3 linked regions of the Oryzias latipes genome follow. The protein of the gene in region 3 interacts with the protein of the main gene of each other region in a pairwise test. Links are inferred from orthologs where the notes say so. Each region holds a gene or a part of one and is shown on either strand. Other genes may lie near its edges.

What was found.
Region 1: the proteins of sh3yl1 (region 3) and sh3d19 interact in binary tests that used the Homo sapiens proteins (3 or more experiments, as listed by UniProt). The link is inferred for Oryzias latipes from reciprocal best matches to the Homo sapiens genes SH3YL1 and SH3D19.
Region 2: the proteins of sh3yl1 (region 3) and glial fibrillary acidic protein interact in binary tests that used the Homo sapiens proteins (3 or more experiments, as listed by UniProt). The two-hybrid records come from large-scale screens. The link is inferred for Oryzias latipes from reciprocal best matches to the Homo sapiens genes SH3YL1 and GFAP.

What each region holds. Positions count from the first base shown.
Region 1 is NC_019859.2:19,163,613-19,167,263, forward strand, and holds the end of sh3d19 (SH3 domain-containing protein 19), read right to left. Parts: intron 2,275-3,651; coding exon 2,144-2,274; intron 2,060-2,143; coding exon 2,007-2,059; intron 1,927-2,006; coding exon 1,706-1,926; intron 1,348-1,705; coding exon 1,277-1,347; intron 923-1,276; coding exon 739-922; intron 590-738; coding exon 486-589; intron 415-485; coding exon 304-414; 3' UTR 146-303; downstream 1-145. UniProt on the Homo sapiens protein: May play a role in regulating A disintegrin and metalloproteases (ADAMs) in the signaling of EGFR-ligand shedding. May be involved in suppression of Ras-induced cellular transformation and Ras-mediated activation of ELK1.
Region 2 is NC_019866.2:4,110,282-4,114,437, forward strand, and holds the start of glial fibrillary acidic protein, read right to left. Parts: upstream 2,807-4,156; 5' UTR 2,777-2,806; coding exon 2,265-2,776; intron 519-2,264; coding exon 458-518; intron 1-457.
Region 3 is NC_019860.2:11,149,148-11,152,798, reverse strand, and holds part of sh3yl1 (SH3 domain-containing YSC84-like protein 1), read left to right. Parts: coding exon 1-34; intron 35-126; coding exon 127-240; intron 241-2,231; coding exon 2,232-2,296; intron 2,297-2,377; coding exon 2,378-2,490; intron 2,491-3,651.

The sequences.
Region 1 (3,651 bases), on a different chromosome or scaffold from region 3:
CTTTTAAAACTGTCAGGGTTGTTGTAAGCTCTACTCAATATAAAAACTATCAGACTAGGTATATAAAACTAGACTGGCCATTATGGTCTTAAAATGTAAATCTACCTTCTTCCAACATCAGTTTGCAGCCACAAAATCCAAAAAGTCATTTGTAAACATTTTATTTTTAATTCACATAACTTAAACCATTAAAATGCATTACTGTTGGAAAAGGTTTAACTGCTTAGGATTACAAAACATTTAATAGACAGCAGTTTAAAGATGTTCCATCAACTCAGCCCCACATCTTTGCAGTGTTTGGCCTCATTGTAACACTTGGACATAGTTTTTAGGGACCAGAGCTCTTTTTCCTCTCAAGTCTGCCAGAAACCATTCTTCATCAACAGACTCCACGTTGGTCAAGATATCACCAAACTGTAAAAGAAGACTTTGAATTGATGCTTTTATTCAGCAGAATCTTGCAGGAAAAGAAAAAAAAAAGGTACCTGAATTGAGAGTTCTTCATCACAGTCTGATCTAAAGTCATATAAAGCTCTTGCTCTCATTCCACCAGCAGCTTTACTTCTCAGGTCAATAGTGGGCTGTTCTTCTGTAACAAATAGGAAAAAATAGTGAACATTTTAGTTCGAATTTTTTTTTTTTATTACAATTAACTGACTAATAAAAACAGTTAAATGTTGAAAATAGGATCTTTTTTTTCTAAAAACAGGCCTACAAATAAGCTAGATCCCAGTGTACCTATTACGGTCTGAACATAAATCCGGGGGAACATGCCCTCTCTGCCATTCAGTTTGCCACAACTCCACTTTTCATCCAAGTGCTTGGTCATGAGGATGCGGTCACCTTGGCGAAACGACAGGTCGCTGGAAGTCTTTGCTGCATAATCATGCAAGGCCACTGCCCATTCGTTAGGTTTGGAAGTCTACAGGAGAGTCCACAAACAAGAGAAACCATGAAAAGTTGTCCATCTAGAAGACATTAAAAAACAGCCAGTATCAAAAATTTGGATGCTAAATGTACAGCTTTAAAAACATTGGATCATCCTGTAACAATGTGGCTGTACATGCACAGAGCTATATTTAGATAGTTGTGTGCACACAGCTGTAATAAGGTTTTAAGGTAGTAAAATACACAAAAATAATGCTTACAACAGTGGGAATTCAAAATAAAACCCTCAAGCTTTGTTGCACAGGTAAAATATGTTGGTACTTAATGTATTGGGAGTCAGCATAACCAGCATCTTCTTTGTTGGGGTGTCCTCTGACATAAATATTACCTTAGCAGGTTTGGCAGGCTCAGCTTGTATGTTGGGAGGGGCGGCGGCGGCGGCAGCAGCAGCAGAAATACCTGCAGAAATGAACAGTTTATTAAGAAACAAGAAGAGCAAAGGATACGTATTTAGGTAGGAGCGTTTCTCAGGGAATTGTTGCATAATTGCAAAATAAAAAGAAATAAATCAAAACATTCTAGAAAATGAAAGAGTTTAGCAACTGGATTTGTACGTTTTTATTTTTAGCAACTTTATAGGAGTGGGGTCAAAAACCAAGGTCATGCATTCATCAACTCCCCCATGCGGTGGAGACCTTTCTCTAATGAAAGACAAACAGTCAATCAAATGCCTCACAGAGCTTGATTTAAAGTGCTCTTTCCTTATGAACAAAAACATTTGTGTAGAAAAATGTAAAAGCACTCTCATTTCCCTCACCTGGAACAAACATTTGGTTCAACTGCTGGGTTGGAGGCGGCGGCAGATCTTCAACGACCTCCACAAAGTTCAAAGGGAAAATGCCGATCGAGGCGCCGATCTGCCCTTGCGCCCACTCCTCCCCCACATACTTCTGTAGCTGGATCACATCCCCCTCAAAGAAGGTCAGCTCATCGCTGTGCTCCCCCTCAAAGTCGAACCTCGCCACGCACCTCGGACCACTGCAAGGAATAATTTAAAAAGCTCATCGGGACTTTGAAAAATAAGTAAATAACCGGTTTCACCATCACCTGAACTGTACCTGATTGATGCAAGCGAAGGCTTCTCTTTCTTTTCAGGGACAGGTGAATTTGACTGATTGAAGACATAAATATTACTTTTTTAAAAGCCTTACATCGAGACTGTATTTTTACAGGGAATTATAAAAACAAGACTTACCAGAACTTCAGCATAATTAATTGGAAAGAAACCTGTGGATCCTCTGCATGTGCCTCTGTACCACTGATCGTCGGCCTGCTCCACCCCTGTCACAACATCTCCTGCTCTGAGACTCAGCTCTTCTGGATTCTCTAAAAAATAAAAATCCAATCAAGGGTAAATTTAAAAATTCCAAATTCAATTATATTTTAGTCAGGAAATGTATCGAGGAGCAAAATATATTGTGAAAGTTAGCAATGATGTCAAAGAATGCTACCTTTGGGTTTTTGAAAAGAATGTCCTAAACTTTATTTTGTACACTAAATAAAAATGTTACCAGTTTTAAAGTTGCTAGTGTGGGACTTTCATTCTGTGATTTTCAGGATTCAAATAGAATACAAAGACCATTGCTTTGTCTTTTTGAGCAAGAAGTCAAAAATAGTTCAGTAATGCAGTTCTTCATGCATAAGGAGGATTATTTACAAGGTCAGAGCTTTCCTGAAAAGGGTCAATTAGGAAGTTGACACCCAACATAACTGAGTTAGGACATAGAGACACTCTTTCAGAACTGTGGTAGTTCTGCATTTGTGTGCTGTAATAGTCAAATCTTCAGGGACACCTTTGCATCATTAATAATATTTTGTGAATGGGAATGTCTGACTTGGAGATACACAATTCGAAACTGAGAATGAACAAAATGATGTGTTGATGGGGCACCTGCTCCAGCCTTAGATAAGAACTCAGAGACCTGAAGTGTGTAGCTGCAACGACACTAAAACATTAGCACATTATGTTTGACCAGTGTTACAATGAGATATATTTGTACCTGACAAACATAATGTTATGCTAAGCTAAAAATGCAAATCAAAAAAGTCAGTCACAAATTCTGCAAATCGTCCCACTGAAAAAAATGAGAGGTCTGGGATTTTCATCATAGGTACATTACAGCTGTGAGACACAGAATGTAAAAAAGTAGCCAGGAAATCACATTGTATGAGTTTTGAAGAATTTATTTATTTACATGTAAAACTACAAAAAATAAGTATTCATCTTCTACAAACAAGTGAGACTTCTGTTCCTCTCAGGGCTGTACCTTCTCTAAAGACACGCTCTGAGGAAAATTAGTTTTTTTTTGGTGTTTTTAAAGGGTTCTTTTTTGCATTTTTCTTATGATGGAGGACAATTATAAAAAGGAATATAAGCTTAAAGTTGCATTTCATTTTTTTGTCGACCAGGAGCAGATGAAAAAATGCTGTTAGAAAATGCTTGTTTTGTGATGTAAAAATAGATCAATTTATGTCTTTGTTTTTACTCGTCCAAGATGGCATCTGGCTCAAAACTGGAAGGCTGGATAACGCAAATACTGTTCACCATTTTTGTTGCACTGCTAAGATTAGCTTAGGGTTGTGGGGGCTGTAAACTATTGGGAAAGACTATAAACAAATGGATGACAGGAAGTAACGGAGGCCCCACCCACAACCCAGGGGGGAATTTCTGATGAACTCCTGCCAATCTGCAGAAACTATGTC
Region 2 (4,156 bases), on a different chromosome or scaffold from region 3:
GCTGTTCCTAAATAATTTATTAGTGATTTGTGCGTCAATTACGTAATTTTAACATATATGCGCCGTATACAGGATTTAAAAGTCATACTTCAATGGCACATAATGTATGACTAATACTATTAGACACAAGTGGAACAGTTGTGGAAAGCCACAAAATTGTGTATGCATCACACAAAAATCATGCACTTTTGTGTAAGATTTACGTACTAATTGCGTGTAAACTTCCTAAAATATGCGTAAACTTCGTCATTCTCAAGCAACAAAATTTTGAACAGCTCAGAACCGAATTCTTGTGAAGACCTGTCTATCGAAACCCTCATTGGACATCTGAGCACATCGACGACTGACCAAAGCAAAAGCCACTTTTGTTTTACGTATATCACGCACGAATCAAAACAGACTGAAATTTCAGATGTGCTAAAATGCGCAAAATGTACGCAGTGACACTAAAGATTACCTGTCTAAAGGCGTTCAAGTTGTTCTCTGCTTCCTGACGCTGCACAATCTCATCCTGCAGCCTGTCAAAAGAGAACAGATCGCTTTCAGATTCTCTGAAGGGAGACACAACCTTTTAAATGCAGCTTTTTTTCATGAACCCCTTAATTTCTGAATTTATTTCCAGCTAAGGAAAAAAAAAAGATTTAGTGTTTTTGCTTCCAAGTAGATGCTAAATTAAGGTAATTTTGGAACCCAAGTGGAGTCTATTTGCTTCAACAGGCGTTACCCTAGAGGTCCTATGCACACACAGGACCTCTAGAGGTGCTTGAGCCCCTGCCCTTTATGGAAATGACGTCACATAACATCCAGTTGTGAGTTGGAGAATCAGATTTTTCTGCTAATCTAGTTGATTAATCTACTGTTCTTGTGGTCATTTTCCAATGTCCACAACAACAGTAGAGATATCTTTCTCCAAGCTAAAATTGGTGAAAGAAGAAAGGCTCTCCGATCTCCTTCTCCTTTCCATTGACAGACACAACTATACATCACAATGATGTGATCAATATCCTCAGGGGTGGGGCCCCCTGAAGGTTCCTGCTTTGAGGTCCCCAGAAGATTGGGTTTGAATCAGGGCTGAGTTTCACATTAACATTATTTCCATTATACGATTCATTTTTGTACATCGTTCAAAACTCATATTTCGCTGTCAGCGTGCAATAAAATATTTATTTCTGTATCGTCTAAGGGGCAAAAAACAAAAAAAGTGCACATGCTGCCCTTTTCCCTGATGATGTTTGATTCCCTGGTCTGGAATCAAATAACCCCGTCGTTCTCTGTTCTCACACAACATCAGCTACTTTTATGCTTTTAATGCTGCTCCTTGTGGTGCAGGGGAGGAGGAGCCAGGCTCAGCTGAAAGGGCAGCTTATGCATCATTACACATTCACTGCGACCTAACAGCCAGAGGCCTTTCCCACGGGAAGGAGGATGCAAACACACATTGACACAAAATAAAAAAAAATTAAAAAAACAGACATCGCCCCACAATCCATCTGCCAAACACAGACACGCAACGATCTCACTCCAACATCTGTATAGGTTCATGCAGAGTTTTCTGAGTAGTCTTGGTATGGGAGCAGCATCAATGAAGAGGTGACCTCTGACCCTCTCAGCCACCGTATCATTATTCACCCTACCGTCTTTTAGGGAGCAGAGGGCAAAGAGGACTGTGCTGAAGACCTTTTCCCCCCCCAGACCTTCAGTCATTCTTTCTAAAACTTCTGGCATAAATTCAAGCAGCCGCAAAGGAAAAAATGCGAAGCTTCAAAGAACATCTCCCCGGCTGCTCTCTTTGTGCAGGGCCACCATTGTGTTGGCCTCATTCCTCCACACTCTTTCGGGGCTGACGAGGGGTTCAGTCGGGATCAGGCTTGTATAGAGGGATCCAGTAGCAAAGCTCAGGCGGACCATGGAGATCTGCATTCTAACAAATCCCCCCTCTCAAAAAGAATCTACATATAAATGCTCTTGTAATTTAAAAAAAAGGAAAACGTTTTCTTCCCCTGTGCCAGGATTTCTCCAACCTAATCCAGATAAACTGGACTTAATTCTAAAGCAATACATTTGAAATCAAATTTATCCTTTGAAAATAAAAATGTGTTTTAAAAAAAGAGTTAAGTTTCTCTAATTTTTGGGTATTTTTTCAGAAATTTGAAATTGAAAGTTACATTTTCAGTTAACCACAGCTCTGTTCCAAACAAGAGACACAAAGGATAAAGGTTATCTCTGAGCACCACCCTGCACTAACCACCTTTTTTCACACCTACCTCTGCTTAAGCGTGGCCAGATCTGCAGCCAGGTTGTCCCTCTCGATCTCCAGTCGAGCCTTGCCTGTGGTCAGGTTGTCCACCTGCCGCCGCAGCTCCCTGAGTTCATCCTGGTAGATGTCCCCAAGGCGACTGGGCTCCTTCCCCCTCAGCTGGTTCAGCTCTGCCACCAACACTTTGTTCTGCTGCTCCAGCATGCGCACCTTCTCGATGTAACTGGCAAAGCGGTCGTTGAGGCCCATCATCTCCATCTTCTCATTGGTGCGCGTCTCCTTGTACTGGGCCTTCAGCAGGGAGTCGGCGGAGAAGTCCAGCCGATCCCCTGGACTCCCCATCAGCAGGGCCGCGGTAGAGGAGCCCAGGGAGGTCCGGGATATGGGGCTGGAGATGGAGATGTTTCGAGGGGTTCCATGCCAGGAGAGGCGGCTGGACGATAGTCTTCCCCCTGCACTGCCCGGGCCTTGAGGCCCGAAACGCTTCCTGTAGGAGGACTGGACTCTCTGGCTCTCCATGACGGGGGGAATGGGCTCACAGAGGGGACAAACTGGGCTTTTATAGTTGAAGAACTGCCCCCAAGTCCAGAACACAGAGGCCACAGGGTGGGGCAGGGAGAAGGGAGGGCAGCAGACAGTGAATGGCGCATAAAGGGGTGGTTTGCATCCGACTGAAAAAGCTGTGGGCCGTGGATTGTTGTCACTCCTGGTCCTCTGACTCACTCCCTTTTTCACTCCCCCCCCCCCTTTTTTTTTGTCTTACCCTCTTTCTTTCTGTTCCAACTGAATGAAAAGGAATTTGTGTGAAACCGTCTGGCCGCCGTTCCAGCCTGACCAGAAACTGGACCACAAAAACAAAAAACAGGTTCTGATTGAAGGCAACAAACCCAAAGAACCCAGCCAAGGTTTGGCAGATCGGAGCAAATCCAGCGCAGAAGACGGCTGTTAGACAAACACAGCTGAGTTCAGCATTTAGGGCTAAACACACACTTCTGCACGGGATTACAGAATTATGACAAACAGTAACTATCAGCAGTAATGTTTTTTAACAACCTATTGGCTTTCTCCTGTTAAATACAATAATGTAGGAATGAAACCAACATTTATTCCATACTTGAGCTCTAAATCTCAGAACCATAAAAATATGACACACAGAAGAAATAAAATACAAGTAAAACATAAATTATAAACGTAAAAACGTAAGGACTTAAAAGGGTGTCCAAACCAGTATGTTCAATTTTGGGACTGGTAACGAAGAGTTCAAAGAAGTCCCACTCCAATCCTCTTTTGATCTATTATAAAAATGTTCCCGGTGGTCTATTACTTACAATGAGGCAGTTTTTAGCCCAAATAGCGGTAGTAATATTTAAAAATCCACCTTTGGGTTGTGGCCATTGCTGCAAGTGAGCCCCACATCCTTCCCATCATCCGTCTGTTTACACTCCCTCCCACTAGCTTACCAACCTAACATAACCGGAGCAGCAAAGGAAAAATGGGAGCAATATTGGAGCTATCCAGTCGGACAGTTTGGATCCAGATCCCAGCTCAGATGAGGAAAACTATGGCAAAAATGGATCTGTTTGTCCACAAGTGGATGCATCAGAATGGAGCTAGTGGCTTGCCGTAGATGTTTCTACATCACATTAACAACGTTTTTCCTGCTAATTCACAACAATTTAAATACAGAAATACACAAAAATGCAATTTTGAGGTTGATTATCTTCACATATGTCCTCTATCATGAGAAAAAAATGCCACTAGAACATGGTAAAACCACTCAAAACCCAGTTTAATTTGAATCTGAATGGGTTTTTAAGACATGCCACCCAGAAGATTTTTTTAAGAGTTCAGTGAATGTTGTTGTCATCAATCATTTTGTCATCAATAACATGACTAAGA
Region 3 (3,651 bases):
TCCAACAGATATGGACCAGACAAACTTATCCCTGGTAAAAGAAATGTATATTTTTTTTAAGTTTTAAGAGAACAGTTGGAATTATGTTTAAAAAAATGTGACTTTTATATATTTTGTGTGTGTCAGCTCATGTCATAGCAAAGGCGGAGGGTCTGGCCATCATCTCTGTCATCAAAGCTGGCTTCATGATCACTGCCAGAGGAGGCAGTGGAATCGTCATTGCCAGACTCGCTGACCGAAGTAAGACTTTTTCGTGGAGTTTTGGACAGACTTCTGATGCCGGCTTATGAATCGTTTGCAGACATGTCTGTAGTTATGCTCGCGTCAGTTTTATCATGACCCAATCAGGACTTTAAGACTAATGCCATGAGTGTAAGACAGTCATTAGGGGTTTGTAGCTCACATGAAAGCTCACCCTTAAGTTTAAATGGTGGCAAGTCATTTAAAGTCTTAAAATTACTCTCAACAGTCTTAAATCTTTTTTATACTGTACTGTGGATACAAGATTAGATAGTTGCTGGTGACTAATGCGTCTGATAAGGCATACTTTGAATGCATAAACACAGAGGAGACGTATTACCGCTGACATACTTTCACTCTTAGGCTATTCAGCCTGAACACATTTGCTCAGCTTAAAGTGAGGTTACTCGGTCTGAAAGTCCGACCCGGAGCGAGCAGTTGTACCAAAATGAACACTGTAGCTGATGTAAGCAGAGTAGGAATGCAGCGACAGAGTAGCCGTGGACAAATATAAAGCAACAATTTTTGTGTTATCAGACAAAAAAATAGGATAGGCTTTTTGTGAGAACGTTTATTTTAACATGCCCGAAAGGGGTTGCTGTGACGTCATCTTAAAGCTACCTTTATACTTTCTTACAAATTCTCTTTTAAAAAAATGTCATAACACCACAACTGAGACAAAGCAACTCACTGAAATTTGATCAGATTAATTCAGAAACTTAAATTTTTAACATAATACAAATAACTACTCACTGTTTCCTGACAATCATATGTCATAAACACTTATTAGCATACCTTCTTATCTGTCTTCTTGCCAGTAACCGCCCTACAGCATGACTCCACCAGACCAAAAAGCGAGTAAAAAATGTTGAGCCTGATGTTGATGCAGACTTCCAAAAGTTGTGAGCGAAATATTAAGTTTGAATGAACTAAAAGCGCAGGACCTCCATAATGCCTCTAGTTGCTCTGCCCCACCCTCGTAATTCCTGACCAATGAGTAAAGAGATATTTAGTCACATGGTTTTGTTTACAAGCTTTAGCCCAGAACAGGAAAGTTCCCTTGACGGCAGTCAAACACAAGGTTCAGGACTCGAATCTGGACCAAATTAAGCTGATTGGGTCCGGACCAACAGATTTTTCCAGTCTGAATGAACCCAAAGTCTTATTAATACAGGCTCGTCTTTAATGAGCTTTTGTCTGCCATAAGAAGCTGTTGCACAGGCTTAGTTATCTAAAGAATACCCGTCATGCTGTATCATATTAGATTCTGCACCAAAAAAAAGAAGCGTGAAGTGGCATGGGCTCACCAGAGCTTTAAAAATGGTAACGAAGTAAAGTTGAAAGCTCTGCTGGGTCCACCCACATGTGGGACAGAGGTGAAGAGGCGTGTGCAAGCAGGTTGGAATGGATGGAGGAAAGTTAAGGTGTGAAGAGTGTCAGCAAGAACGAAAGGAAAGGTGTGGAAGACTGTGGTGAGAGCAGCCATGTTGTTGGTTTGGAATGTTGAGGATGGATAGGATCAGGAATGAGTCCATCAGAGGAACAGATGATGTTAGATGTTTTTGGAAATAAATGTAGGGAAGCCGATGGAGATGATTTGGGCAGGTTGAAAGGAGGGACAGTAGGAAAGAGGCCTGGAGGAAGACGGTTCATGGACAAATCAAGGAGGACATGAAGGTGTGAGCAAGGAGGAATTGGGGACAGGTTTGAATGGCTGGTTCGCTAAAGGGAGCAACAGAAAGAAATGTACGATTAAAATATATCCCATCTTAAAACCTAAAAATATGGTGCATTTGTTTCTGTTGATGCAGAGATGTTTTTACTACACATGAAAGATTAATACCTGCATTGAGCAGGCTTTTGTATGAACAAAAGTTAAACTCTAATGTCTTTGGATGATTGGTTTCAGCCAAGCTTTGATCTTTTATAAAAACATAAAACCAGGTTTGAACATAAGCATTTAACAAGTTTGAAATGGTTTTCATGTTCAGGTTGGTCAGCACCCTCAGCCATCGGTATTGCCGGCCTAGGCGGAGGATTTGAAATTGGGGTGGAAGTGAGTACACCTCCTTAACTTTTGAGTGAAAAATCCCCTGAAAGTGTTAGATGATGTTGTTCAACGCCACACTATGTTCAGGTGTCGGATCTGGTGATCATCCTGAATCAGCGCAGAGCCATCGAGGCCTTCACAAAGGGCGGGAACCTGACGCTGGGCGGGAACTGCACCGTCGCTGTGGGACCTGTAGGCAGGTAAATTCCTGCCCCCCCCCCCCCCCCCCCCCCCACTAACCCTCTCCAATCTGTCTGCGTCTTAATTGCACCTAATGTGTAGTGTTGATGGAAATGACGGGCCTTGCTGTGATGACAGCCTGAGGCATCCACAGCAGCATTAGCTCAGATTTTAAAGGGTTGTCGTGATTTGGAATAAGGAGGGCGTTGTTGGGGACGCTCGGAGGGTTCTGGCTCCCATCATTTTGTGGGTTTTTCTTTCTGCCTGTGGGCGTGGCCAGATGTCTCATTCCTTCATGTTTTCTAAATAAGCTACTGACAGATAAGAAGATGCAACGTGTTCGTGCATGAAAACAAATTCTAATTATAGAAATTGCACATAAAAACAAAACAAAAATGGATCCATATGTTTTTTTTGTCTTTTATGTCAATGTTTGGTTATTTCATCCGGTTAATCGTTTGCAAAAATGTATCCAAATAACCAATCTAGAGACTTTTTTTGTAGTTTTTTTTGGTGTGATCCAAAAAAAATTTTTCATCCATTTTTATACTCAATTGCAGCACCCTTTGAAAACCTTTATGCTTTTTATTCTCACAACAAAATGCCATTAAATAATAGGTTTAGATTTTTTTTTACATCATTTTTTTGTGTTTAACTATTTTTCCGCTTTTTTAAAATAAAAACTGTATTTAAACCTTCAGTTTATGGAGGAGTCGACTCACAAATACTCTATAGACCTCCTTGGGCGTATTTGGAGAATTAGAAATGACGAAAATAAATTTACCCCAGAGTTGTGGTCTGCCACAGCAAAATAACAAGCTCTTTGACCGTTAACGCAATCAGCGCAATTCCAACGGATTCTGACAGCGGATTTTGTGCTGGTATGCCGCATCAGAATCAGTTGTTTAGGTTTATTGGGTAGACGCTTCACTACTGTATAGTGTTTTCTTTTCTGAGCTTTAGAATTTACTGGGATTGTGTAAGCTCTAGCAAAAGCTGACTTATTTTATTTACTTATTTTTGTTCTTTATTATACAAACTATCTTTTTTCACACTATAAGGCAAAAAACAACATTGCACCTAATAATCTAGATCGCCTTATATTTGAAAATGTGTTCATGATGTTAAAGCAATTTCGAAAGGTACACAGCGCTGATTGGGTGTAATCTTTCTGAAAATGC